7 linked regions of the Ovis aries genome follow. The main gene of each other region encodes a partner of the protein of the gene in region 3 in a complex. Links are inferred from orthologs where the notes say so. Each region holds a gene or a part of one and is shown on either strand. Other genes may lie near its edges.

The links.
Region 1: B9D1 (region 3) and TMEM67 share a complex: the UniProt entries of both Homo sapiens proteins name them as parts of the tectonic-like complex. The link is inferred for Ovis aries from reciprocal best matches to the Homo sapiens genes B9D1 and TMEM67.
Region 2: B9D1 (region 3) and TCTN1 share a complex: the UniProt entries of both Homo sapiens proteins name them as parts of the tectonic-like complex. The link is inferred for Ovis aries from reciprocal best matches to the Homo sapiens genes B9D1 and TCTN1.
Region 4: B9D1 (region 3) and TMEM107 share a complex: the UniProt entries of both Homo sapiens proteins name them as parts of the tectonic-like complex. The link is inferred for Ovis aries from reciprocal best matches to the Homo sapiens genes B9D1 and TMEM107.
Region 5: B9D1 (region 3) and CEP290 share a complex: the UniProt entries of both Homo sapiens proteins name them as parts of the tectonic-like complex. The link is inferred for Ovis aries from reciprocal best matches to the Homo sapiens genes B9D1 and CEP290.
Region 6: B9D1 (region 3) and TMEM17 share a complex: the UniProt entries of both Homo sapiens proteins name them as parts of the tectonic-like complex. The link is inferred for Ovis aries from reciprocal best matches to the Homo sapiens genes B9D1 and TMEM17.
Region 7: B9D1 (region 3) and TMEM216 share a complex: the UniProt entries of both Homo sapiens proteins name them as parts of the tectonic-like complex. The link is inferred for Ovis aries from reciprocal best matches to the Homo sapiens genes B9D1 and TMEM216.

Annotation. Positions count from the first base shown.
Region 1 is NC_056062.1:83,393,893-83,398,118, forward strand, and holds part of TMEM67 (meckelin), read right to left. Parts: intron 3,660-4,226; coding exon 3,561-3,659; intron 3,330-3,560; coding exon 3,243-3,329; intron 2,025-3,242; coding exon 1,925-2,024; intron 1,832-1,924; coding exon 1,692-1,831; intron 112-1,691; coding exon 1-111. UniProt on the Homo sapiens protein: Required for ciliary structure and function. Part of the tectonic-like complex which is required for tissue-specific ciliogenesis and may regulate ciliary membrane composition.
Region 2 is NC_056070.1:54,534,184-54,538,409, forward strand, and holds the end of TCTN1 (tectonic-1), read left to right. Parts: intron 1-2,026; coding exon 2,027-2,152; intron 2,153-2,196; exon of another isoform or gene 2,197-2,588; coding exon 2,589-2,732; 3' UTR 2,733-2,733; exon of another isoform or gene 2,734-3,601; 3' UTR 3,602-3,693; downstream 3,694-4,226. Other genes in the region: HVCN1 (voltage-gated hydrogen channel 1), read right to left, coding at 4,149-4,226. UniProt on the Homo sapiens protein: Component of the tectonic-like complex, a complex localized at the transition zone of primary cilia and acting as a barrier that prevents diffusion of transmembrane proteins between the cilia and plasma membranes.
Region 3 is NC_056064.1:33,867,127-33,870,638, reverse strand, and holds the end of B9D1 (B9 domain-containing protein 1), read right to left. Parts: intron 3,362-3,512; coding exon 3,299-3,361; intron 1,608-3,298; coding exon 1,540-1,607; intron 1,272-1,539; coding exon 1,129-1,271; 3' UTR 1,074-1,128; downstream 1-1,073. UniProt on the Homo sapiens protein: Component of the tectonic-like complex, a complex localized at the transition zone of primary cilia and acting as a barrier that prevents diffusion of transmembrane proteins between the cilia and plasma membranes.
Region 4 is NC_056064.1:27,636,798-27,641,453, forward strand, and holds the start of TMEM107 (transmembrane protein 107), read right to left. Parts: upstream 3,303-4,656; 5' UTR 3,146-3,302; coding exon 3,059-3,145; intron 2,901-3,058; coding exon 2,833-2,900; intron 2,732-2,832; coding exon 2,631-2,731; intron 1,897-2,630; coding exon 1,800-1,896; intron 1,566-1,799; coding exon 1,496-1,565; 3' UTR 1-1,495. UniProt on the Homo sapiens protein: Plays a role in cilia formation and embryonic patterning. Requires for normal Sonic hedgehog (Shh) signaling in the neural tube and acts in combination with GLI2 and GLI3 to pattern ventral and intermediate neuronal cell types.
Region 5 is NC_056056.1:124,377,257-124,381,482, reverse strand, and holds part of CEP290 (centrosomal protein of 290 kDa), read left to right. Parts: intron 1-1,408; coding exon 1,409-1,675; intron 1,676-2,244; coding exon 2,245-2,352; intron 2,353-2,990; coding exon 2,991-3,190; intron 3,191-4,226. UniProt on the Homo sapiens protein: Involved in early and late steps in cilia formation. Its association with CCP110 is required for inhibition of primary cilia formation by CCP110.
Region 6 is NC_056056.1:45,739,026-45,742,698, reverse strand, and holds the end of TMEM17 (transmembrane protein 17), read right to left. Parts: intron 2,729-3,673; coding exon 2,450-2,728; 3' UTR 1,056-2,449; downstream 1-1,055. UniProt on the Homo sapiens protein: Transmembrane component of the tectonic-like complex, a complex localized at the transition zone of primary cilia and acting as a barrier that prevents diffusion of transmembrane proteins between the cilia and plasma membranes.
Region 7 is NC_056074.1:36,449,049-36,452,363, forward strand, and holds part of TMEM216 (transmembrane protein 216), read left to right. Parts: intron 1-471; coding exon 472-673; intron 674-961; coding exon 962-977; 3' UTR 978-3,315. UniProt on the Homo sapiens protein: Part of the tectonic-like complex which is required for tissue-specific ciliogenesis and may regulate ciliary membrane composition.

The sequences.
Region 1 (4,226 bases), on a different chromosome or scaffold from region 3:
AGAAGACACCGCATATCTCAAAATGCGGCTGTAAGGAGCTATGTAGCTAGGTGGGCTTCTGGAAAGACTAGAGGATGAGTCCATTAATGCTAAGTTCTTGAATCCCACAACCTTAAGTAAAAAGAACAAAATAATTTTAAAATATATGGAAAAAGAAAACCCCTGTAGTCTGAAAATTAGACACCTCTCTCTACTCCTTCCCTTGAAAAACTAAAGTATTCAAGTTTGTACAAACAGTAGAAAATCTAGATAAAAATAATTATCAAGTATTTTAATTACAAAGTATTTAATACAAAATTTTAGCTAGTCTATTAGGTAGTCTCTTCGATATGACTCAAGGCCAGTTCAGCTCAGTTGCTCAGTCATGCCCAACTCTTTGAGACCCCGTGGACTGCAGCACACCAGGCCTCCCTGTTCATCACCAACTCCTAGAGCTTGCTCAAACTCATGTCCATCGAGTTGGTGATGCCATCCAACCATCTCAGTCTCTGTCATCCCCTTCGACTCAAGGACAAATATAACCTTATTATCATATACATTGACAAAGCTTAAAAATTTCTCTCAAAAAAATAAAGCTGTGGCTCAGCTGGTAAAGAATCCGCCTGCAGTGTGGCAGACCTGGGTTCGATCCCTGGGTTGGGAAGATCCCCTGGAGAAGGGAAAGGCTACCCACTCCAGGATTCTGGCCTAGGGAATTCCATAAACTATAGTCCATAGGGTCGCAAAGAGTCGCACAAAACTGAGCAGCTTTCACTTTCACTTTCAGTAAACTACCAATGAACAACCAGCAATCCATGACAGGCACTACGCAAAATACTTTTTATACTTTAAAACACTATTTTCCAAAATGCTTTTTGAGGAAGGTATCATGTTATACTCACCTCTATGCTTTCTACTCTCATAGATTAAAGGCTCTGGAAAGTTTTATGGTAAAGGAAGTTACATGACTTTATGGAATCCAGTATTTTCCAAACTTACTTGATTATAAAATGACTTTTTCACACAATCCCTTTTAAGCTTTAAAAAACAGGACTATAAGTAAGTTTTTGAGATGGTGTTCTTATGTCTCAGAGACACACATGTTCTTCTAGGTTCAAAAAAGGGAAGGAAGGAGAAAAGTAAGAAAGAAGGAAAAAGGAATGCAGACAAACAAAGGAGTCCAACAAAATTTACATCAAACCTTACTTAAGCAGCTAGTTCTAGAGAAAATCTGTTACTTATGCAGTTTCCATATTTCAGTCTCATATTCAGTTCTGAATACTTCCTTTGATAATCCTACCCAGGTCCATCAAATAACTGTAAAGGGGCCATGAGCATGTACCCATTCAGTGTGTGTGGTTAGGCTGTAGCCCCAAATCCTAACACAGGACATGGTCCTTAGTAGGTGTTCAGGGACAGAAAGTAGAATGGTGGTTCCAGGTCTGAGAAGAGGGAAAAAGACGAGCACAGAGTTTTAGTTTTGCAAGATGAAGGGTTCTAGAGATGGACTATACGACAATACGAGTATACTTAACAGTTACTGAACTGTACACTGAAAATGATAAATTTCATGTTATGCGTATTTTTTAAAGGCTCGATAATAATATTTTAAACTTCAGAAAACTCTCACTGACAGGAAAACTTAGCTGGAATTACATTAACATTTATGAGGTACCCATAAATTGCATACAATTCTATCAAATAGTTTTTACCTCCAAAAGGAAGAGGACAGTAAGTACTTGAAAGAGTGGGTTAATTTTTCTCACAGTCTGAATTTCGTTCCATTCATTTGCCACAAAATAAGTTCTCCATATGCTTACAGGAACAGTAGCACTCCGGACACCACCCTCACCTGGTTGGGGAGGTAAAATGAGTAAACCGTTTCACCTTCTTTGCTTTACAGTGGTGGCGAAAGAAACTTGGTACAAATGGTTACTTTCATTACCTTCAACAGCTTTAAGAACCTTCCCTTTAGGCCGCTCCCAATCGATAAAGAATATGTCTATGGTAATCTGGGAGATGAGCTTATGCAAAAATTGCAGAGCCTGAGAATGACAAACGCAACACCTTAAAGTACTGGCATTAAGTCTGCTTATGAAACCAACGCTAATTCTTTAAGAAACAAACATCTGAAATCACAAGAAGATATATGGGGCTTCCCTGGTGGCTCAAATAGTAAACAATCTACCTGCAATGGGGGAGACTCAGGGTCAACCCCTGGGTCAGGAAGATCCCCTGGAGAAGGGAATGGTAACCCACTCCAGTATTCTTGCAGAGAATCCCTGGACAGAGGAGCCTGGGGGGCTATAGTCCATGGGGTCGCAAAGAGTCAGAGCGACTAATATTTTCACTGTAAGTTTCACAAGTGACAAAGTTGTCATACCATCAGGGGCTCACCAGAAACTCATCATATAACAGTCACCAAATTCACAGACTTTCTACACACATATTAATTTCACCTTTCCTCCTTCTGTCTTTCTTAGAAATAGGAATATGAAGGTAGACATGCTGCCTCCCTCCTCACACAGGGATCTTGCCTAAAGGACTCTCTTTCCCAAGGGTTCCAAAAGCCTTTAACTTCTTTATAAGGAAAGGTATCTCCAACTGTAATTGGTTTGTCCTAATGAAAGTTTTAGGATGTTCTTACTGCCTTTTTCTCTATTTCTACTATTAAGATTTCTGATGAAAAAAAAAATCCTTTTCATTTACAGAATATGTTTAAACCGAGGCTTCTTCCGAGAAGGTGCATTATTGATCAAACAAAGGTAAAAAATTTAAGTATGGGATGATTCCTCTCTTCCTGGGGCTCACAGATCAGTGGGAACAGCAGTCACTTAATAATCACAACATAACTGGATGAGATGTACAGCAGAGACATGTGAAGAGCATCACATCCACTGAAAGAACAGTGAAGCAAGGAGGGGGGGCTCCCATGGGAAGAGGAGGAAAGGAATGTGGAGGCAGAGAGAACCAATGCTAAGAGTTCAGCACTTTATCCAGAGTGGTACCGTTCACTCTTGATTAACAGTCTACATTAAATAATAAAAAATTATTTAAGGCAGATCTTCAGAATGAGATACCTATTATAAATAAATGCAGACTTCCTAGTAAAAAAGAACAATTCATACCTTCTTCTAAAATTCAACTAATTTTATACCAAAGATTTTGAAAGCATTTTAACTCTGAAGACTTACGTGCTTACTAGCAGACTTTTTTTTTTAAGCAGACTTTTAAAATTCAGTAACCTGTGCTTTGAAACTTACCTTCAGAGCAAAACCACATCCCACATAAGTAACAAAGCGTTCTTCTTGAGCTGGCACTGGTAGCAAAACAGAGACAGACTTCTGTGCCTGTGATGAAAATTACACTGCTAAGTATGACCACACAAGGTTTTTACTAGGCACAATTTATAACCCAAAGAAAGCATAAAAGAAATACAACACACTCAGGAACAGTGAGTTTAGCACTTGCCCCAGTACTCTTGATTAGAAACACCCTTAAGTAAAAACAGTTGCTTTATAAAGAGAGCTTACAAGTTATTCAGGTTGTGGCACTAAGGTTAAATTCAGAAAATCACTTACTTTAAAGAAAATAAGCCAGTAAAGACCTGTTCCTACAGTGATGATAAAGAAAACATTGGCCAGATCACCAGCATAGTACACCAAGAATTTCGTAACTGTCTGCAATTTAAAAAGAGAATCACAGCTGTTATAGACTCATTCCATTTATACTACTTTAATAACATATTATTATTAATAACATTATTATCAACCCAGTTTCTCAAGCTTGAGAAGCTCTTATTTCATGTATCCATGGATCAGTCAGAAGGACTGACTGCAGCCACTTCCTAGATACCTTTTGATCCATTTCCAATAACTTCTATCTTATTCAACCCTTCTCATCTTTCACCAACTAAGAACTTTAGAACCGCTTTCTAATTTTCACGTTTGGAATCCTTCTCCCCAACGTACCCTACATACTACCATCAGAATTGGCTTTCTAAAATGTAAATTGGACTGTGTCACTCTCTTTCTTAAAAATGTACAGTGATGCCTCATTAAAATGTAAATTCCTGATCCATAAGTTCCTTTACAACCTAGGCCAAAATTAAATTTTAGCCTCATCTGTCAGTTCCAACAACTTGCTCAATAATTAACCACTCCACAAATTAATCCCAAATGTTTTGGGGAATGAAATGAGCATTATTTCAACAGATATTCTTCTCTTCTTCTCTGTGGCAAACTCTC
Region 2 (4,226 bases), on a different chromosome or scaffold from region 3:
GCCACTTGCTAGTGGTCTCCAGTGTGCACCTGCCCCTCTCACTGTGGGGAGACAGAGGCAGGGGGTACCTGTTAAGAGGGTGAGTGGCTGTGGGTGGGAGTTTGGACTTTGTTATCAGATGGGCCTGGATCTTGAATACTGATTTTGCCCCTAGTTAGCAGTGATTTAGCCAGCGATCTTACCGGTTTGAGCCTCTTTTTCCTCATAGCTGTATTACTGCCCTCAGGGCTTGTTGAGAGTTAAAATCGGGTAATATTAATGGTGCCTAGTGGTCTCTCTATAAATGGGGACCACTACCAGTCACCATCCTGTCCCTTGTTGGTGTTATGCAAGGTTTCTCTAGGTATCATGATATGATAGGTGAAGTGGACTGTTTCAGCAAGACTTCCTCCCATCTGCAGAGCTGTCCTATCCATTGTTCCCTGGTCTATAAAAGCACTCCACCCATGAGAGCTTTCAATTCTAAAGTTCCCAGAAGAGTTTAATGGAAATTGACATCCTACAAATAGGTTCCAGATCACATGTGGTTCTCCTGCCCACCTTTTTCTTTTGTCTCAGCAGTCAGAGTGTGGGCTGGCCCCGTCAGCGGAGGCGTGCTCTCCATCTTTATCCTTTAATTGCCCGGCTTTTTCATGTCACCGTTTCTTCAGGCCTCTCATTATCTGCTTAGCACATTTATAGCATGGGGACAGTGGGGTGAGGACTAGCTCACTAGCTCCGATCCCACCATCCCCACTGAGTCCCCAGCAGAGAGCCGTGTTTACTCAGTCCCTGCGGTTCAGCTAAGTCTTGGCTCAGCTCTGCTGCCTCAGTGAACCAGGCAGTTTGCTCCCAGCTTCTTGCAGATGGGTTAAGATGTCCAGTTGTTACTTCTCCCTTAGAAGGGAAGACACAAGTTGTGGCGGGAGAGGCAGCAGCATGGACGCAAGCACTGTCGGGGTCTGTGCCAGTCGGGAGCTTAGAGGGCCCGGGGCAGGTTTCATCCCAGCCTTCTAGGCAGAGCCGACACGAGGGCATCTGCTGGGCTCAGGTGACACCAGCTGCGTGTTGCATCTTCTAAACAGGATATTCTCAAGGATTTTTGAGCCTGCAAATTTCTTAAGAGACAGTGCTAAGCCAAGGCATTCCACCCTTGCCTTTTCAGCCGGCACCAAATTTAGCAGGTATGCTAGCTTTGCATGCCCCAAAGAAATGTATTTTAAAAAACTTTTCACTGTGGAAAAATTTCACACATACATAGACAAAAAGTAGAATACTCCAGTGGAATTCCATCTCCTTATCAGGCAGCTTTAACACATTTGCCAACTGAAGAAACTGTAAAGACAGGAAAGAGGTCTGGAAGGCCCCCTTCATATGTTCCCCGTAGGGCTGAGCAAACAAAGATCCTGGGGCTGAGGTCTCAGGCCCAGCTCCCAGTGTCCAGGCCTGCATGGGGCAGCTCCATTGTGGCACCAGTGCCCTCGACTGAGAGTGAGAGTTAACTTCTTTGAAAACTTAAGACAGCGCCTGTATACCCCGATGTAACATCTTAATTGCCAACCAGTGAAATCAGATAAATGAAAAGAAAGGACTTGAATTTCCTCTAAGTACATTTTAACATGATATGCAGTCAGGTTTAATTTCTGACTTAATAATACTATATTCCCTTTCCTCCTCCCCCCATGCCAACTCCTTTCCTAAAGAATCTCTGAGGTAGATGTAAATGGGTGGGTGCAGTTAGACCTGTCGGCCCTGGAGGGTCCATAATTGGGGGTACAACTCCCAGGTAATGCTGGTCTCTTTAGAAACAGGAAGGGCTGGAAGAATTATGCTTTAGGTGTTAAAATTTTTTTGGAGCATTGAGTACTTTTAAAATACATGCTGCTTCTAAGCTGTTTTTATCTGAACTTCCAGAGTCTATTCATTCTCTTGTTCAGAACATTTTGTAATATGGGAAACATTTTATAATTAAAACTCTGAACTGCAGATTAAGTTTGACTTAAGGTTGTATAATACTCAAATTGATTAATGGCATATTATTGTACAGGAATCCTGCCAGCTCCCAGTGGCTTTGATGGTAGAAGTGAAGTGGACTAAATACGGATCCTTACTGAACCCACAGGCCAAAATAGTCAATGTAACTGCAAATCTAATTTCATCTTCCTTTCCTGAGGTAGGCCTAATGTTAAAGATACAAGACTCAAGGCCAGACAAAACTCAGCTGTGATAGGTGAAATTTATTATTTTGTAAAAAATAATTAAAATTTAAACAATCTGGATTCTTAGAACAATCTAGCAGTCATCGTTTACTTAGAGGAAAAGCCTCCACTGAACAAAATGGTTTTGTTCACATTTGCATTCTTGTTTAGATTTGATCTTTAAAATTCTTGTCAGAATTGAGTTGTGCATGACATCAGTGTGTGAGGGACAACCTGAGTGAAAACTGTCTCTCTCCTCTGAGTTAGTGACTGATGAGCCCTCCATGTACCTATCAGATTCATGAACTGACAGCTATTGGGTGAGGAAGGGCATGGAAGCTTGTCCCATCTTTGTTATCCTGATAGCACACTGGAGGGCAGGGCTTGCATTATTCTGATTTTGTATTACAGACCAACTCAGGAAATGAAAGGACGATTCTTATTTCCACTGCGGTTACTTTTGTGGATGTGTCTGCCCCTGCAGAGGCAGGCTTCAGAGCTCGGCCAACCATCAACGCCAGGCTGCCCTTTAATTTCTTCTTCCCATTTGTTTGATGTAAGTCGTTAAATAAGGAAACTACACCATATCTGCAGAATTCAGCACGTGTGGGGCCCACGGCCCCTCGGAGACATCCCACTTTATTATAACCCTTGAGATTGCCCCCAGACCAGCACACTTCCTTTCCACTCGCTTCCCTCCTCTCGTCTCCCTTCGGGAATGTCCTTCTAGTTGGTCTGACATTAGAAGGAGGCATGATCTGGTCTTAGCCAGTTCCAGTACTCTCAACACATAGGTCATATGTGGAAACCAAGTTGCACCTTTGAGAAGACACGAGGACAGACCTTCAAGTAGTGCAGGCGTTGAGGGTTTATCCAGTTTGTTCATCCCCTGCTTTAAATGTGAGTTATTTTTAAAATATTATTTTTCATTCAGGTTTTCTTCCTTTTCAGGTCCTGCTGAAATGTGTACAAAAATAGCAAATTGTTTAAAATCATGCGAGTAGAGGACAAGGCCTCACAAGAGGATCTTCCCCCAAATGTCATGTTAATTACAGTGGCGTCTTGGGTCTAATTGCCACTTCTGTACCAGGCACCGGAGCTAGCTTGCTCTCCAGTTAGTGGGCTGGTCTGGGATGCCACCAAGTGATTCCCAGCAGATGAAGCTGGAAGGATCTAGTAGGAGGGCCCGAGGGAAGGAGAGAGTTTATTTTATACATTAGTTGTACAGTAACTGAGGAAAATGTTGTCAGGTGGCAGAACTAGGTGGAGCCAGCTAAAAGCTGGAGGATGCAGAGGAGGGGGCTGGGTACTCGAGAATGGCCTCCTTGGGGGAAATTGTGGTTAGCTATTTAGAACAGCTTGGACATGTAAAAGACTTCTAGAAAGTGCTGATAGCTAAGATAGCTTTCTTTTTTGTTTTTCAGAGTGCTCATATGAAAGGATGTACTGATCCCTCAATATACATGTGAAAAGTGAAAACTGTACGTTTGATGAGATTAAATTTTATATACAGCTAGTAATTGTCCAGCTTGTTCATTTTCAAGCAAGAGTAAAGTGTTCCAACATGAGAAAAAATATAGTTTATGATACATTTGTTACACAGTGTGGGGTGGGACATTCTCAGTCACACCAAGGAAGAAATAGAGCCTGTAAAAGGCTGTGTCCCCCAGGATCCGAGCCAGCAGCAGTGAGGCAAAGCCATCAAACCAGAGCTCTCCCCGACATGGCCCCAGAGGGGCGGCTGTCTTCCTTGTCACAAGCCCATGAGGCAGGTCTTCCCTTTGAGCTGGAGAAGGTGTGCGTCTAGTTCACCTCCCCGAGAAGTCCGTGCTGTCTCAACAGCTTGTTAAGTCTCTCAATTTCTTGTTCCTGTTATTACAAAAGCAGACAAATAACCGAATTTACCTTCTGAGCCTCCCCAGGCACATACTGGGCCACAGAGCTGAATGAAAACCACACTCCTCATGGAAATCACTTAGTCGGGGCCCAATAGTGACAGCAGAGAGGAGAGACACTAGAGGAGGGGGGTTCCTGGCGAACCTGCAGGGG
Region 3 (3,512 bases):
GTGGGATGTGTGCCATCAAGCACCCTCCTGCCAGGTGCCATGGTGGGGGTGTCACCCAGCCGTTCTCAGTCCAGGGGCAGGTGGCTGGTTTTGAACTCGTATTGACTATTGATACTTTATTTACTGTATAAATATAATTTATCATTTGTATCATGATGCGGTTTCTGGCTCTGTCCTTCCCCTGCCTCTACCCTCATCAATCCTGAAACACCGCGAGGGGCCAGCTCAGGAGCCAGTTCCCACCTGGACCCACCTTGGCCACTGAGCTGGTTCCAGTGCCTGTGTGAGCCTGAGCATCGGGGAAGGAGTGGACTGGGGAGCTCCTGTACAGGTCAAGGTCATGACAAGGGAGGGGCTGGGGGAGAGGCCATGTCAGGCAGGGACCGTCCAGGTGGATGAGGATGTGTCAAGGGCGGCTGGAGTCTGGTGGCCGCAGGCTGGGCTGACGGCCAGGGGTGTTCTGGAAGCTGGGATGGGGCCACAGGGGATGTACCTGCGGAGCAGAGGCCAGAGCAGGAGAGGACTCCTCATGCAGAGGCGGCCAGTGTCCTGCTGCTTGTTCCAGGGAGCACAATGAGTTGGGGCAGGGGCAGTGGCCCTGAGTAGCATAAACTTCTGGTTTACGGAGGAACTGGGGGAACATCAGGCTGGGGGCTCCCTCAAATCCTGCCAAGGAGAGAACACTGGGCAAGCCCTGTGACCTGCTCAGAGGGCTCCCCTGAAGCTGCTGGCGGGCGGTCAGGTGGCCCAGCATTGGCTGAGGGCAAGTGGGTTCTCCCCCTGCAACACCACCCACCTGGGGAGGCTCTCAGCCCACATCCCCTGTCCAAGGGTGGCAGGCATCCATGGAACTGAAGCCATGGAGCATGGTCAGTTTGACACGTGCCAGGCACTGAGCAGGCAGGTTTTAGGGCCGAGCATGTCGAGCCGTGAGGCATGGGATCAGTGTTGAATCCAAGCTCGTGTGCTGGTGGCCGTCCTGTGCAGCGTCCATGGGCGGTGCCCTCTGAGGTGAGGCCCGGGCTCTGCTCCCAGGCGATGTGCTGCGAAAGTCGGAGCAGCCCCAGCCCAGCCTCTGTGAAAAAGTTACACTTTATTATACGATTGCTGGGCAGAGGGCTGTTGGCTTCACCGGGGGAGGCCCTGGGGTGGGCTGGGCCCCGAGACGCCCTGCGTGTCAGGAGGCCCGGTGTCATAGCCCAGCTTCCTCATGTCCTTGGTCACCACGTTGAAGAGGAGAGTGACGAAGCCCTGGGAGCGGACACGGGTCACTGGGGACAGAAGGATAGAGTCAGCCAAGCTGGGTCAGAGACAGATCCAGGCTGCTTTGGGAATTGGCAGCCTCAGTGTTCCCTCCTGGAAAGTGGGGTCAACACTGCCCAGCCCACATTCCTCCCTGGGAGAAGGGGCTGCTCTGGGGACGGGGCGATGGAAGTGGCAACCCCTCTGAGCTGGGCCCTCCTCCACCCATCTGACTCCTGGGGGCCCACCTGGTCCCTTCCAGGCCCACCCTGCCCAGGGTGAGGGGTGAACCTTTACCTTCCCGGCCTTCTCCCTGAGCCACCACTTTGGGGTCTGTGTACTCGGGCCGCCGTCCCATGAGCCAGCTGGGAAGACAGGGGAGCGGGTGAGCAGGGAGCTTGGGGTCCTGCAGACATGGCATGGGCTCTCCCTCCAGCCCTTTCCTGGGGCAGAGCCTCCCCACGCCACCCTCCTCAGCTGGACGCTGTCCTTGGGTACGGTCATTGTGGGCAAAAGCAGAGGGAGGGCTAGGGCTGGGAGGGTGCACGGCCTGAACCCAGGGGGCCCCACCCCAGAGTGCGGCAGCCATCCTTGGGGGTGGGCAGAGGGACAAGATCCGGGCTCTCCGCTGTCTTTCGAGTAGAGCGGGACCCGAGACTAGTTACTTCCCGACTCTGGGCCCGAGTGTTCTCAGCGTCCTGGAGATGTGATCACGGGCCCTGCCTGACAGGGCTCTGGCCAAGATGTCTGTGCCCCCGGCCTGGGCAGTGTCCTCCCACCTCGCTCCCAACAGCAGGGAGGTGGCACTGAGGGATGTGGGCCATGGCAGGTAGGGAGGCGCCTCAATGACTGCGCCTCAGTTTCTCCATCAGAGGAGCAGGGCTCCACCTGTACCTGCCTCCCAGGCTGCGCTGAGGACCGAGCTGGGGAAGCAGCCCCTGGGGCTGGCACGTGCCAGGCACAGACGCTGCTGCAGGAGCACCACCGGCTCCTCGGGGCAGAGACATGCCTGAGTCGCCCATGTGGTGGCATCTTGGGGAAACTGGAGGGGCTGAGTGATGGCCCCAGAGATACCAGGTCCTGTTGAGAGAACTTAATGTCTTTGGTTTTAAGCCACCACGTCTGGTAACTGGTCACAGTGGCCACAGGAAGCAGTCACAGGGGAGTGGGTAGGCAGCAGGCTGAGGAAGGGTGCTTGGGAGCAGAGCATCAGAGAGGGGGTGCGTGGAGGGGCTGCTTGGCCAGCTTTTCAGTGGCCTCCCGGGGCCCTAGGCTGCGGAGGTCTATCGATCAAGCTGCTGCCCTGGGTTCCATCATCCAAGCTCACACAGTCCAGCTGGGGCCAGAGCACCCCCTGCCCCCCGCCAAGAAAAGCAGGAGACACCCCTGATACCACCTGGTCAGGAGCTGGTCTTCCCCAGCCAGAAGCCCCTTCCTCCAGGAGACAGCACACGGGGGCCCACAGTTCTCCCCCAAGCAATGTGGACCCACAAGGCCCTTGACATCCCACAGCTGCCCGGTGGGTGGTGATGTCACCTCCAGCCGACACTGGCCCCGTCATAGTGGCTTCCAGAGGAGCTCCCAGGGGTAGCAAGCACCCAGCCATGCTCCCCAGGCCTCAGAGCTCAGGAAGCTTCCTCGAGCCAGCAAGGCTCCAGCCACGTTCCCCTCATCCTGCCCGCCCACCCGGCAGCTGAGCTGACTGTTTTCCATCCCTACCCCCGACAACCAGCCAGGCCCAGCCACCCTCTAGCTCCTGCTCGGATGAGGGAAGGGGCCAGAGGCCTCGGCTGGTCTCGCCCAGACCCGGTGTCTGGCCCCCGCTGGCTGCACTGCCAAGTCCACCACCTACTCCCTATGCCTGCGACCTTCTCTGGGCTCTGCCACGATGGCCCACCCTTGGCTCTAGGCCCTGCTCAGATGTCACCTCCTGGCAGAGGCCCCTCACGCAAAGGTGTCCAGCATGACGAGGAGGGGTGGGGGAATGTGACAGCCCTCCTTTCGATCACCGACGCCAGGACGGGCGCCCTGGGGACGGGGATAGGCGTCTACTCACCTGGTAAACTTTTGCAGTTTAGATGTAGATTCTGGGACAAACATGGGGATGGTCTTTTTGTGCCTGAAACAGATGTTTTCACAGCTGTGCTGAATCAAGGGAAAGCACTGGAACTTTCTGAGCCTCCAGTGCGGGGCGAGCTGGAGTGCCCAGAGGTCAAAGCCGCGGCTGCCTCCAGGGCCAAGTTCCTGAGAGCCCTGCCCTGCCTGTCTTC
Region 4 (4,656 bases), about 6.2 Mb from region 3:
CAAAGAAACGAATCGGATTCATGCAAGGAAAGGAGTCGTGGTTTGGGTCCCTGGCGTTGGGAAAGAACCCCTGAAAAAAAAGGAAACGGTTATCCACTCCAAGACTCAGGCCTGAAGAATTCCATTCAGACAGGATTAAGTGACTTTGACAAATCAACCACGAAACTAAGTATCACAAGAGTTTAAAAAACAAACAAACTTACAAACCATCAACCACGAAACTATCACAAGAGTTTAAAAAACAAATTTACAAACCGTACTCTACACAAACATACCCAAACCAAACACCCTCAGAGGAAAAAAAAAAAAAAACACACCCCAAACTTTACAGACACTATTAGGACCAACACTGCTGCTGCTCCTGCTGCTAAATCGCTTCAGTCGTGCCCGACTCTGTGCGGCCCCATACACGGCAACCCAACAGGCACCCCGGTCCCTAGAATTCTCCAGACAAGAGCACTGGTGTGGGTTGCTATTGTCTTCTCCAACGCATGGTGAAAAATGAAAGCGAAGTCGCTCAGTCGTGCCCGACGCTACTTCAAGTACAACTAAGGAGACAGTACTAAAAACTCAATCTAATCGTAAAGTACATTAACATCACGGATCGCCAGGAAGAATCAGATAGGAGCAATCAGGGTGTTGCAAGTCCTGATTACGCAGAGCCGTTAATCACGAATCATGCGAGCTCCAATCATCATGTTCTATTCTGCCCTCCAAAAGGAGGAACAGGTAAGGATTATCCTACCTGACGATACCGAGAGGACTGCAATATTCCGTACTCCGGTAATAAGACTCCGCTAACAGGTAGGGTGAGTAAACGACATGTTAGTTCGAGCCATCTAAAGCTATCCAGGTTCTTCCACTTCTGTTGTTCAATTTATTTGCAGATGTTTTAAAATAAATTTTTCCATTTGGCTGTCAAAAAGCAAACGCTAATCCCTCCCAGAATGCTTCACTCACTTTAAGAGCTCGAGGTACTAAAGTATAACCTTATTTACATATCTCCGCCCACTCCCTTCCGTCAGAAATCTACCGTAATAACTAGAATAGAAGCGACATTTAGGGTCTTACAGTGCAAGGCTGGAAAACAGCCTTCCGTTTCTATAGTAGTTTGGCCACCCCAATTTTCTCCTGAAATTTTTGTCTTGATTTTTTTCTTTTTCTTTTTTTTGGCCACGCTGCCTAGCATTCAGGATCTTGGTTGCTCCACCAGGGACTGAACCCGCTGCAGTGGAGGCGTGGGGTCCTAACCACTGGACAGCCAGGGAATTCCTGCAGGAATTCCTGTAAGTTTGATCTTACCCTAAAATATATTTTATTACAAAGGACTGTAAACAAAACACAGATAATCCCAGACTTGAGAGATAATTACCCTAACACTGACATCGTTCACCAAACGCAGTGTTAGAAGGAGGGCTGAAGCCTCCCTCTTCCAGGAAGGGTGAGTAGTCCTTCGCTCCTTCAGCCTTCATCCCTACTTCCAGTCACGAAGATATCAGAAAGGTTTCTTTTTCAGGCCAAAGACGCTGATGAATAATGTTATTTCGGTGACAGCCGGGAGGGCACTGAGGAAGGCAGGTGATGGGTTCAGAGTTTCTTCTAATAAAAATACCCAGATCCCCAAGCCAGCGATCCCACCCCCCGACCCCCTGAAGTGTAGGAGTGGAGGACTTCAAAAAGACTCGGGAATGTTGAGTGGATCTGGTATGTTACACATGGAACAAAGGGCTGGGTAGGGGAATCTTCAGATTTAAAGTAAACCTCCCTTCCCCATCCTCAAACATTAGGTGCTACCATACCTGCAAAAGACAAAAATGTACCAATACATGGTGCACTCCCAACGCTCAAATATGAAGAAGGATAGGGCCACAGATGCACTACAGTGAGCCCCGATGGCTTGGGAATACACCAGAGTCAAGGAAAGCCTTTGGGTCAACAGGTAGTGATGAGCCAGAAAAGGCCGGTGATGGGCCTGGCATCTGCATTCACAATCAGCTCCTGGTGAGCAAGGCATCTCTTGCTCCCTTTACCACACTGCAAAGGCCAGAGCCAGCAGCCCAGATTTTTGGGTTTTAGGATGGCCATGTGTAGAGGCCAGAGCTGAGCCTGCCCTGTTGGGAAACCAAGCTACCTCCATCCCATATCTAGTTTGGATCCTTCAGGTGAAGTAGTAGACTCCTGATCTACTCCAAGCACACAGACATGCTCACAGTGACACAATACACTGCTGGGATCACTCTCCAGTACCCTGGTGTTGAGAGCCTTCCCTGATCCATCTTCCTCACTTCCTTTGTCTCTTCGGCATTCCCATAGTGCTTTGTATCTTAACATCTGATGGCACCCGTGCTTATCACACTGAATTGCAGATGTCTGTGTATCTGCCTCTTCCTCAAGATAGAAAACTGTTGTACTCTCATCTTGAGATCTCCAGTGCCTGGTGAGTAGCAGGAGCTCAAAAAGTGATCAGAGATTGTATTAAATCTTCCACATTGCCTAACATCTCTCCACAGGAGGGATTCTGTTTGCCTGCTAGAGCAAACGCCATTGTGCCAGAAAGGCCTAGTTAAGTGGCTGAAGGGCGTTATGGTGGACAAGGGCGAGGAGGAAAGGAGTACACGTAGAAAGGATACAGATGAGGCTCTGGGTGCTGTTGAACATGGAAACTCCTAAGAAGAAACCAGCCAGCTCCACTGCAAAGAGAGCTAGGGTGACAGAGAGCGCTGCCACCAGCCTGCAGAAAAGAAGGAAGTGGCTTAGGCCTTCTGAACTTTTTCTAAGACCCCTTCACTCCCTCTACTGCCTAATTCTGCCCACCCTGTCCCACATGCTCACTGAATGTCCTGCTTCTCATACTCTTCAGGGGTGAATCTGAGAGGCAGGCAGGCCTGGATGTTGCTGTCCTAGGGAGCAGGGCAGAAAGAAACAGAAGTTGAAAGAGGGTCTGGCGGCTGGATATGGGAAGACCCCACCGTGTAAGGCCCCGGGAGAGAAAGGGTGGAGTGGGGCTGGGACCACCCCAAATTGGAAGGAGGAACGAGAAGAGGGCCCTGGGTCTTACCCTGGACCAGAATAAGGTGATGACGACCACCAGATGCGCCAGGAGCGTCAGAAAGCGAGAGGGCACGAGCCCTGAGATCCGGCCCATGGTTCCCAGGGGAAGAGGTACCGCCTGGAGCAGAGGCCGTTTGTCTCTGGGGCTGGAAGCTCAAGGAGGGTCACTCCTCAAGTCTCCCAAGCTAGCAGACAAAAATTCGACGTACGCCGCTTTCCCGCTTACGCTGGCACCGCTCAGTTGCCTTAGTAACCGCAAAAACGATGGCTCCGACGGGACCTCTGAAAGTCTCGCGAGAGCGGCAAATTATCGCGCCGCCTCCGGGCCTCTGGGAAACTTTGTTCCGGGTCCACAATACCTGTGCAGATCCCGACCGGATGCGGAGAATCGAGCTGCCGGCCTTCCCGCGTGCAGATGAGTTGTCTGCACAGCCTGAGAGTGTGTTGTGGCGCGGCCCCCCATTGCCGAGTCTGCCCACACAGCACTGGCGAACGGAAATTCGGACACTCGCTCCTCCCTGTATCCCCATGCCGGGAGCGGCCTGGCCCCCAGCCCCTGCTACTTTGCCCAAGATGATCCTCCAGACACCACAGTCACCACCACTCCAGCCTTAGGGCGTCAACATGCCCGAGCCCTGGACACTGTCTTTTCTTCCATCCCCCGCATCCGTGTAGCTTCTCCTTGACCTAGGCCGAACTTGGAGAGGTGGATGCCCCTTTATTGTCCTGGAGCCCCTGGTTGTTGGCGGACCGTATACCTGAACTTTCCTTGATTCTGATTCCCCACCCAACCACCCACCCAGCTCGCTCAGATTGGTGAGGGATTTGCAGAGTACAGAAAAGAGCCCCTCTCCTGAACTAGGGTGTGGATGAGAGGCGTGTTGCGGGAAGGAAGTGGACGTACGGGACCAGAAAAGGGAGTGGAGGAAGAGAATGAAACCCCGCGTCCCTGGGAGGCAAGAGTCGAAGGCGGAAATTCAGAGTCTACGATTTCCTTATCTCTTGGAGGTGTGACCAGCAGAGTCTCTTTGCCCAGCTATAGTCCAAGCATTTCTCACGATTGGGACCTCACGGACCTTCGGACCTTAAAGGTGATTCCTGTAGAACGGAAAGTTCTCGCCGGAGTTCACGGCTAACAGTCAAGTCACAACTTCCAGGCTCCCCCCCCCACCCTCTTACCAGATCATCTCCCAAGAATAATAATGGATAATCCATAATAAGAATAGAAAAGAGTTTTATTTGAGCCAAACTAAGGAGTAGCCTGGAAGCTCCTTTCCCCGATTACTCTGAGAAACTGCCCCAGCGAAGCATCTTTTTCAGTGCAGTTTTGCATCTTGTAAGAACAAAGAACTTTATACAAGTCAGGGTTACATTTCTTCTTCTTCTTTTTTTTTTTTTTTCTTTTTTAAGGACCAGATGATTAATACACAGCAGGTCAGCATGGCCTTGGCACTTGGAAAATATCTCTCATAATCACATCGAAGGTGTCCCAGGAAGAGGGGCGTTTAATCTTTATTTTTAACATGGGCATTTTTTACTTCTGGTCAGCGTGCCCTTTCCTTTAAATAATTAAAGCAGATGTACAGCGTGTGTTTGATAGACCAC
Region 5 (4,226 bases), on a different chromosome or scaffold from region 3:
GTGTTTCCCTCCCTTCAATGATCAAGAATTGTTTTCATCCTTGTTTATTTTTATATTTTATTTTGAAGCATATGTTCTAAACTCTGGATCAATTTTTAGTTTACTTCTTTTCGTGGGTGGTTAAAGGGCTTGAAGGTAAACTAGGAGTTGTTTCTTAGTTTAATCTAGGTCTTAAATTTGGTTAATAGATGGTCAGATCTCTCTTTATTAAATTATACAGAAAATAGTATAAACTGAATATATTTAGATGTCAACTAAAATGAAAATCATATTACTATAAATACATTTAAAATAATTTTTTAAATTGTGCATTTTTAAATCAACCAAAGAAACTTAAATTGTCTTCTATATTGTAAATTTGTCATTTATGTGAATTGCCACTGAGCTATTTGATTTTTGAGTATTTGCTTAATTCCGTTGAGGAATATATACTATTTTCTGTTTTGTTTTGAGAAGCTGCACATTTTACAATGGAGATCCATTGACTCAGACCACTAAAATTCCAGCTTTTATACTTTGTTGACTTCTATGGGTTACTCTTCTGATGCTCTAATGAGTCAATGAATCAAAATAAAAGAAATGATTCAGTACATTTTCTTTATAGATCTATCACCACCCACATTCCTATTTCTAAAACTATAAGATCTAAATAAAGTATTGTAACTAAATTTCATTTTCATCATTAACAATGAAGTTTCTAACATATATAATAATCTTATAAATAAAATATGCATGTAGATAACTGCTATCACATAGAAATACAGTTTAACCTTATTAAGACTCTTGAGAGTCCCTTGGACTGCAAGGAGTCCATCCAGTCCATCCTAAAGGAGATCAGACCTGGTGTTCTTTGGAAGAACTGATGTTGAAGCTGAAACTCCAACACTTTGGCCACCTGATGCGAACAGCTGACTCATTTGATGCTGGGAAAGATTGAAGGCAGGAGGAGAAGGGGATGACAGAGGATAAGATAGTTGGATGGCATCACCGACTCAATGGACATGAGTTTGAGTAAATTCTGAGAGTTGGACAGGGAGATCTGGTGTGCTGCAGTCCATTGGGTCGCAGAGTCAGACATGACTGAGTGACTGAACTGAACTGAAAGTAGCATTTGGCTATTAGTGTGCTTCTCTTGTAGCTCAGTTGGTAAAGAATCTACCTGCAGTGCAGGAGACCCGGGTTCGATTCCAGCATTGGGAAGATCCCCTGGAGAAGGAGATGGCAACCCACTCCAATATTCCTGCCTGGAGAATCTCATGGACAGAGGAGCCCGGCAGGCTACAGTCCATGGGGTAGCAAAAATTGGACGCGAGTTAGTGACTAAACCACCACCACCAGTCTGACTAAAATTCAGATGAAGCATTTAAAAGAAAAAAAAAGTATTTTTTTTAATGATTTATCATTACAGAAACTAAGAGAAAAAGAATCTGCTTTACGGTTAGCAGAGGAGAATATTCTGTCAAGAGACAAAGTGATCAATGAACTGAGGCTTCGATTGCCTGCCACTGCAGAACAAGAAAAGCTTATAGCTGAGTTCAGCAGAAAAGAGGTGGAACCAAAATCTCATCACACGTTGAAACTTGCTCACCAGACCATTGCAAATATGCAAGCAAGGTTAAATCAAAAGGAAGAAGTGTTGAAGAAGTATCAACATCTGCTAGAAAAAGCCAGAGAGGTATTTGGTTATGTTATGCTGTCTTATTTATTATGGTGTTTTTTAGACAAATGCCAAGTACTATTCTGCCCTTAAGTGGTGTTTCATTTCTTGTTTTCAAATGATTCAATTCAGGTATTGTTACTTTCACGTGATTGGATTACAGATGTGTCAGTAAAACTGGCAGTTTGTGTTATTGACTGAGTAAACCAGTAATGGCGTTCATGGTGAAACTGATTTCAAGTTAATAGGTAAAGATTGAGGCAGTAAGTTAGAATGAAATCCATCACACTGGTATCAGTGAAAATCAAATTTGCCAGAACTTTAAGGGGTAAAAAAAATCTAAAATTTAAAAATTGCTAGAAACAAGTTAAAAGATAATAAATCCATAGTATTCTAATATTAAGAATAAGTTATACTCTAAGGCTAGGCTTGTCAGTTTGAACATGTGCTAGGGAAATGTATGCACATGTTGTTCCTTCCCTCTCATAAGGATTTTAGTATATTAAAGATAAAATATTTAAGACTTTTAGAATGTAAATTTATATGAGTCACAATGTAAGCTATAGTTTTCATTTGTTATAAAACAGGAACAAAGAGAAATTGTTAAGAAACATGAAGAAGAACTTCATATTCTTCATCGTAAATTAGAACTGCAGGCTGATAATTCACTCAGTAAATTCAAAGAAACAGCTTGGGTAAGATTACAGTTTGGGTAAGAGTCTAGGAACTTTGTTCTATTCTTTATTGATTTTTCAGACCATACAGTTGAAAATTTAGCTCTGTTTTCAGGGAGAGGGGATTGGAAGCCATCCTACTTTTTTTTTTTTTTTTTTTTGCCAGAATAATCTGAAAACACGGCCCTGATCATTTTTTTCCCTAGGCCTAGATTTGTTATAGCTTACTGCTGCCTAGAAAATCATGTTTATATTTCTTCCTCTGACCTCTGTCTGTCTTTTCAAATCTATACATTATTAATTTACCTGTATCTAACTGCTTTCTATGTTCTGATAATTCTTGCCTCTTGGTCATTGTATTCTGTATGTGCAAAATGACCTTTCTTCTCCTAACATGCAAACCTTACCTTCCTCAAACTTTAACTCATTAATTCAATCAATATTTATTTATTGATCCTTCCCTACATGTAGGTACTTTGCCAGATGCTGGGAATACAAAGAATAAGATCCCTATTTCCTGTCTTCTCTAAGCCTTCATTGCCTTCATTACATTTTAGATTTGAAATTGTTTTGATCATTTAAGGAACCAAGTTAAAATTATGAGATAAGTATGGCATTGCATTGTACCTGCTCATGGCTAATATAATGATATTTCATAGGATTTAATAAAACAGTCTCCCACTCCAGTTCCTACCAACAAGCATTTTATTCGTTTGGCTGAAATGGAACAGACAGTAGCAGAACAAGATGACTCTCTCTCCTCACTTGTGATCAAACTAAAACAAGTATCTCAAGATTTAGAGAGACAAAAAGAAATCACTGAATTAAAAATCAAAGAATTTGAAAATATGAAATTACGGTAAGTCTTAGAAATATATTGTAAATATAGGAAAATGGGAATAATGATATAATAAATATAAATGTAAGCATTTGTTATATCATGCACTGGTCTAAAAATATTGCCTATATTGTCTCATTTTATCCTCAGTACTACTGATGATATGGGATAGTCACTCCATTTTGCAGATAGGAAGCTAAGCTACAGAACGTGTTAGTAACATGCCTAGGAGAAGATGAGAAAGCCATGATTTGAATCTAGTCAGTCTGACTCAAAAGATTCTTGTGTAGAATCTCATCTTTAACCTTTGAAATTTTCCTTTTTATTATCTGTAAAGGAAAATGACAGTCCTTACTCTGGCTCTTTCAAGGTGGTTATATGAAGGCCAAATGATGCTATATATGGAAGTAGTTTGAAAATTGTAAAGTAACATAAATACAAAACTTTTATTTATATACCTGTAATAGTTTGTGGCCCCACTCCAGTATTTTTGCCTAGAGAATCCCGTGGACAGAGGAACCTGGTGGGCTGCTCTCCATAGAGTCGGACAGAGTCGGACACGACTGAAGCGACTTAGCAGCAGCAGCAGCAGCAGCAACAACAGTTTTTGGCATACATTTAAGGCTCAAATATTTGTTGAATGAAATATTAATCTTTTTTATTAACCACATCAACAGTGGAGGGCTCAAAGCATTCTCTATATTAGAAATTCTAAACATTGTTCAATCATTTATCAGAGTATAAATTTTGAAACTAAAATAGGTACAGGAGTTCCCTGGTGATCCAGTGGTAAAGAGTCCAGCTGCCATTGCAGGGGACCAGGATTCAGTTCCTGGTCCGGGAATACTGCACATGCAGCAAGGCAGCAGCGCCCATGCTCCCCACCTGCTGAGCCTGTGCACTGGAGGCTGCAAGCCTCAACTGTTGAGCCCAAGTGCTGCAACTGCTGAACCTTGCGTGCTCTTGAGCCTATGTTCCACCACAAGAAAAACCACCTCAATGAGATGCCCACACACAGCAACTAGCGAGTAGCCCCCGGCACTCACCGAAAGCCCGC
Region 6 (3,673 bases), on a different chromosome or scaffold from region 3:
AGGCCAGTGTGCTAACCCTGGACACTAAGTGCTGGGAACAAAGAGCGGAGATGCCCTGCATGCCAAGGGCTGTTTGCTGTCAGGTACGTATTAGGCAGAAACTCATTCCATGCACCTCCCTGACGAAGTGAGACTTTACCTGCAACACTGTACCCCTGAGAACAGGGAGCTCAGTTATTTGTGAACTCTCCACTATTCCTTGTACATAGTAGGCATTCAAACATATGTTGATTAAAATCCAATTTTTAAAAGTCATTCCAATGTACAAAAATGTACATCTACTTTGTAGTTAGAAAAAAACACCCGAAAGAAAAAAATATGTACAAAAATGTACATCTACTTTGTAGTTAGAAAAAAACACCCGAAAGAAAAAAATATGTACAAAAATGTACATCTACTTTGTAGTTAGAAAAAAACACCCGAAAGAAAAAAATATGTGAAAGACAAAGTATTTGTGAAGCTCAATATCTCCTAACTGAAAAACTTCAGAACAGTGTTGTGAACCTTGGAGAGGAAATGCAATAGTAAGTAAGGATGAATAAATTTATAAAATAAAAATACAGATTGCCTAAACTCCAAATGTGCTGACATGGAAATGTCTTTCCTATCTCAATTTTCCTATGCATACATAGAGCACCATGTATATACACCAAATAGAAAATGTTGGTTCAGACTAACACAAAATCATGGTTCTATTGTTTTATGAAAAACCAATGACTTGATCATGTTCTCAATTGATTTTCTTAGTTTCTTTTTTCTTACCCTCATTATATCTACATTTTAAGCAATAATTATTAGAACAAAAACTTTTAAAATTTTTATAAACATATATTCCCCCATTTAACCATTAAACTTTTTTTATTGTTATTCTTTATACTTTTAGTGATTTACCTTAAAGTTTAAATGTATCAAGAGGCTCTGCTATTTAAAATAAAACTCTGGAAATGATTGTTAAATAGAAAAGTCTTTCTTGATCATCACCTTAATTTATCTGTTATGTAGATTTAGTGTTCTTATTTTATATTTTCTTATAAACTCATCTATCTGGAAAAAAATGTGAACAAATACATTTTATTAAACTATTCAAACAGAATTCTATTTTGAATTTCAAAGTATTGGAATATACCTAGTGACAGCTTTGGTATAGGGCAAAGGTTAATTAGTTAGTGTACAGGGGAAGAAAACTTTGACTGAACATTATATATAATAATAAAAAGCAGAAATAATAAAAAGAGCATAAACAGAATAGTAAGGTGTGATTAACAGTGGGAAGTGAAAACATTTTCAAAATTAAGCAACATAAAAATGAATAAGGCATAATGTGGAAATCCTAAGATAAGCATGAATCACAAAACAGGAAGGATAGAAAAAATGATTTTTAATGTAGCTACAACTATCTCTCAATAAAATACAATACTTTAGGAAAGAAAATATTGTATCTCTTAAGACAACCCAATTATCACTTAAAATTAATGGTTCAGATATACCCAAGCAAGCTTTGTTCTTAACAGAATTTCCTTAAATAGGTTTCTCCTATTAGCAAGGGAATATGCTCATTTATGATCATGAGTCCTTTGGGCCATCCAAACTCTATATATTAACAGGCACCCTGATTATCAGATCAATCTTCATGTGAATTTACTGGGTATGAGCAGTTCTTCAGTGAATAATGACTTAATAGATAAGATCATAAGGGTTAATGTACCCAGGACAGTGGCAAATTACATAGAAGGCTCTCAAATACATGTACTTTTCTCTTTTAACTTTATAATAAAAATAAACCCACAGCCCAAAAGAACTGTAAAAGACAAGAATGATTTCTAAAGATAGCTCAACATAAATATTTTATAACTTATTGTGAAGACATTTTGCACACCACCACCATAAATACTGAACATGGCTGTATGAAAATAACAATTTTAGGATAAAAACATTTCCTAAATATCATCACAATCTACCTGCTTTCTTCTTAACCTCAGTATAATAGCTAAGACCCTAGCAGACATGAAAATTTGGTGTCTGTTTACAAATGTAGTCTAATACATCAGAATACTGACCAGCATCTCCACATACTTCATACGTACTGCCAAGACATGGATAGGCCAACAATAGTGAAAGAAATATACACATTTCTAGTTACAGGTACTAACTGGAGATATTACAGTAAAGATGTAACGCCACCAATATAGATCTCTACACACCTGAAAACATTGACAACAACAAAAAATTTAAGATATTTGACATCAGGTAGACAACATGCAGGCTTTAGGGTTGATTTACTGCTTTCACGTGCTGTACAGTCTTATCATTGTGTCCAGCCTTGGAATTTCAGAGCCAGGGAGGATACAGTTCAAAACACTTGCTTTGTCCCTTTTATTGTGTTAGCCCTCTGGTGTTTTCCTGCAGTCTTCTAGAATGATCCTCCAGATGCTTATTCAACAGCACTGGGTCAAATCTCTTCTATACAGGACCTCACTCTTCTCATGTCTCCTCGGCTCGCAGACAGCCGGTCAAAGTCTTGGAGGTGGAAACGAGTTGCCAGCTGATTTACCATTTTCCTCAAGGTAAGAAATGCTGAAACAACTTGGAAAGTAAGGAATATAGTGAAGATGATATGTACTGCTTTCTCCAAGGGCAGATTTGTTAGGCCCTCATTGAAGAGCAAGAAAAGAATTAAAGGCAACTGCAACAGAAGGCTCAGAAGCCAGAAGCCAGCCAACTCAGGAACCTGCAATGATACACACGACAAACATCAGACCAGTGAAGTACCATCTTCTGCTTGTGCTGAAGCAAGTGATACTACTGTGAACCTACATTTTGAGCTCTGTAATTCAAAATAAGTATAGTGTGGTCCTTATCCTCAGGGAACTTACAGTCTAGACTGAAAGAGGAAACTACCTTATGTGACAGTCCTACATTACTACACTTAAGTGAATAATGAAACGTACGTACCACTTAGAGTAATAGACTAAATGCTCTAACAGAGTAAACAGGGTAGGTAAAAGAAATAATTCAAGGAGGTAGGCTTTTAAAGTTAGATAGAATGAGGAAGCGGAGAAGGCAATGGCACCCCACTCCAGTTCTCTTGCCTGGAAAACTCCACGGACAGAGGAGCCTGGAAGGCTGAAGTCCATGGGGTCACTGAGGGTCGGACATGACTGAGCGACTTCACTTTCATGCATTGGAGAAGGAAATGGCAACCCACTCTAGTGTTCTTGCCTGGAGAATCCCAGGGACAGGGGAGCCTGGTGGGCTGCCACCTATGGGGCTGCACAGAGCTGGACACGACTGAAGTGACTTAGCAGCAGTAGCAGCAGCAGAATGAGGAAAAGGCAAGAACTTAAATAAGCAAAAATGTGGAAAGAATATGACTGGGAAACAACACATCAGCCTGGAATGGATGTCTGTGTTAGGAAAAAGCACAAAATACAGTGGGATAGGCTGGGTGGGGCTTAATTATGAAGGGCCTGGAAGAACACTGAAATCTTTAGGCATTATCACTCAGTTCTGGTAACTGTAAATGCTTAGGCAGCATGATGACTCAGAAAACATCTGCCTTGCATAGGAGATGGGTTTGTCATTTTCCCCAATTTTCTTATTCAGAATCCAAATCATCATGTTTAATGACCAAGTATGTTCAAGACTACTGGGAAGAGGGAAAATGATCATTAAT
Region 7 (3,315 bases), on a different chromosome or scaffold from region 3:
TCTTTTAATTTCTGTATTTTCTAAAATGATTTTCTATATATTTTTCTTTTTTTTGGCCATTCCATGGGGCACCTGGGTTCTTAGTTCCCTAACCAGGGATTGGACCCATGCTCCCTGCAGTGGAAGCACAGAGTCAACCACTGGACTGCCAGGGAAGTCCATATTTTCTATATTAATTGACAAAGTGTTCAATGATTATATATTATTTTTATAATTAAAAAGATCTTTCCTCAAATAAAGATCCCATTGTTTCTTCACTGGGAGCAGGACCTTTCTGTGAATGACTCTAATCTCACAGCCGCTCCAAAGCCTCTTGTTTTTAACACAGTGGGACCCTGTTAATAAAGTTGCACATCCCCATTCAGGACCATTTGCCTCTGCTTGCCAGTCCATCCCATCCCACCTGCCTTTTCCTCTGAGGCCAAGGAAAGCAGGCCTCTTGGAGGTGACTCCATGGGCTGTGTCTGACAGGTACAAAGGGAAACCTCTGCCAGCGAAAGATGCCACTTGGTATTAGCGTGGCCTTGACCTTCCCGTCCACCATGATGGCGTCCTATTACCTGCTGCTGCAGACCTACGTGCTCCGCCTGGAAGCCATCATGAACGGCATCTTGCTCTTCTTCTGCGGCTCAGAGCTCCTGCTCGAGGTGCTCACCCTGACCGCTTTCTCCAGGTACTGCTACTGAGGGGCCATTTCCCGTCACCTGAGGGTTGGGTTCCCATCCCAGGGAGGGATTCATTGTTCTTCTAAAGCTTGAAGGGTCTGGACTCTAGAGGATGTTTAAGGGTGAGAAAGGTGTTTTTCCCACTGAGGGTAGAAAGGTGTCTTTCCTGAAGTTACACACTTAGGGAAGATATTCTTGCTTTCTGGGGCCAAGAGGCTTGGATTATAGAACATTTCAGGCCAGCTGCTCTTGTTCACTGGCCTTTTAACATTTTCTTTCTTTCTTTCTGCCATCAGTATGGACAGGATGTGAAGTACAAAAACTTCAGCCAGCAGCCTTCACAGGCTGAGACTGTACATATCTCTGGTACTTCAGCCACACCAGTGAGAAATGGCAGGCCAAGTTGTCCTGAGAAAGGTCGCAGCTTTTCCTCGGCACAGACACCTGGGGAACGAACCCAGCGTAAGACCGCTGGGCACCATCTTCTCAACCAGGACCATCAGCCAGGAGACTCTTCTACACTCCAGTATAGGGAGGGGCAAGGCTGGTGCCTTCCTGGCCTTTCTCGGAACCAGCTCCCTTCTGACCTCAGGTTTTCCTCTTTGATCTTCATGGCCAGAGTATCTTGTGTGGACCTTGCAGGCTCCCTGGGCTTCCAGAAGCACCTGAGCCACACGCTCGCCATGTGTGCTGTGCCCTACATGTCCTGCAGGAGCACAGGGCACCTCAGGAGGGTGTGCTTCCAGAGTGATGCAAAAGCCGCTCATCCCATTTCTCAGAAACTGAGCTCCAGAAATTTTTAAGTAGCTCATAGTGCTATTTTTCTACTCTCATCATGAAACAAACATTATTTTATAATAAATAAGTATTTTCTGTTGTGGGGGGTTGTAGCCTTTTCCTTGTGGCACTTGTCCCTAGAATTTCATCCACTTCAAGAGAAAGTAGAGACTATCCCCAAGGTTTGCCCTTGGCTGTGCTTAGTGACCCTGTGCGGACACAGAGGCAGCAATGAAAGTGTCCTGCTGAATTTTTTCCCCTGCAGCTCTAGTCTCAATTAATCCCTAAAGGCCCTGCCAGCTGCTGTGTCTTCTTCAGACTTGTCATCCTGACCACTCACATTCTTCACCTCTGCCCCAAAGCCAGCAGATTTTAAAATTTTATTTATTTTTGGTTGTGCTGGGTCTTCCTTTCTGCACTCGGGCTTTCTCTAGTTTCGGTGAGCAAGGGCTGCTCTTCGTTACGTTGCACAGGCGTCTCGCTGCAGTGGCTTCTCTTGTTGCGGAGCACAGGCTCTAGACACACAGGCTTCAGAAACATATTCTAAACTTACCAATGTTTTTTGGTCATTTGTTTTAAAATTTCAAGTGAACATAAAAGGAACATATACTTTTATTTTTTAAGCTGGAGAAATGTTGCCCTAAATGAGTGTATCTTCTCTTCTCCAAGTAACCATCTTTAAAACTTTCTCATCTTACATGATAGTGGCCATTTTTTTAGCTCCAAGAAGCCATAAGAGAAGCCACTTTAGGAAACCTTGAGCCATATGGCCCCTTTGCTATCAGGTGAATCCTAGACTATCTGCTCTTACTCAGAGTAAAAAGTAACTGGCCTTTAAGAATGTTATGCTGGTTTTTAACTGCTTATTTCCTGTGATCAGGTTCATTCTCAATCTACAAAGGTCTCCACTGTCCAAGCTTTCTCTTGTTTCCTTACCCTCTGTGTCCTTGCCCAAGGGCTGCCTTTGGGGGTCTATCCAAAGACTGTATTTAGATAGGTCTAATTCAGCATGAAACAGTAACAAAAACTCCAATAGGAACGTCCCTGACATTTCAATAGCATATCCCATATACAATTTTCTGCTGTTTCTCACACTGCCTTTTTGCCGCCTAGCCCTGCTTTGAAGAAATCGCTGTTATCAAACTGGAGAACTCATTGTCCTTGACCTCCCTATTTCATTTAGAGTTTCATTGGTTATGGTTAAAGAATCTGCCTGCAATGCAGGAGGCCTGAGTTCAATTCCTAGGTCAGGAAGACCCCCCACCCCCCACCCCCAGAGAAGGAAATGGCAACCCAATCCAGTATTCTTGCCTAGAGAACTCCATGGACAGAGGATCTTGGCAGGCTACAGTCCATGGGGTTGCCAAGAGTAGGATACAACTTAGCAACTAAACCACCACCACCCTCGCAGCAATGCAGAAAAATGAATGAGAGGTTCAGTTCTAAGGGGCAGCTTATAACTCACAGGGGCTTTAAAAAGCAATTCAATCTCACCCCCGACTTGGCAGGTTTAGAGATGAGGAAGTAACATAGCCAAGCATCAGCTGGTTTCTAACTTGTTAGAAACTTTTGTCTTACTTGTCTCAGTCTGGATCAACCCCAGTCCTCAATGGGTACCACATGAGGATGGGGATGAATGATTGAAAATGGGCACAGGATTGAAATAGGAAGTCATCACATTTTCTCCTTGGGTACCTCGAAGCATTGGGTTTCCCATGCATGGCTCCATAAATGTGCCTCCTTTTTAGTTTATTTTTGGCCATGCCACACTGCACACAAGCTCTTGGTTCCCTGACCACAGACCAAACCTGCTCCCCCTGCAGTGGAAGCTAGGAGCCTTAACCACTCCACCAGGGAAGTCCCATAAATGTTC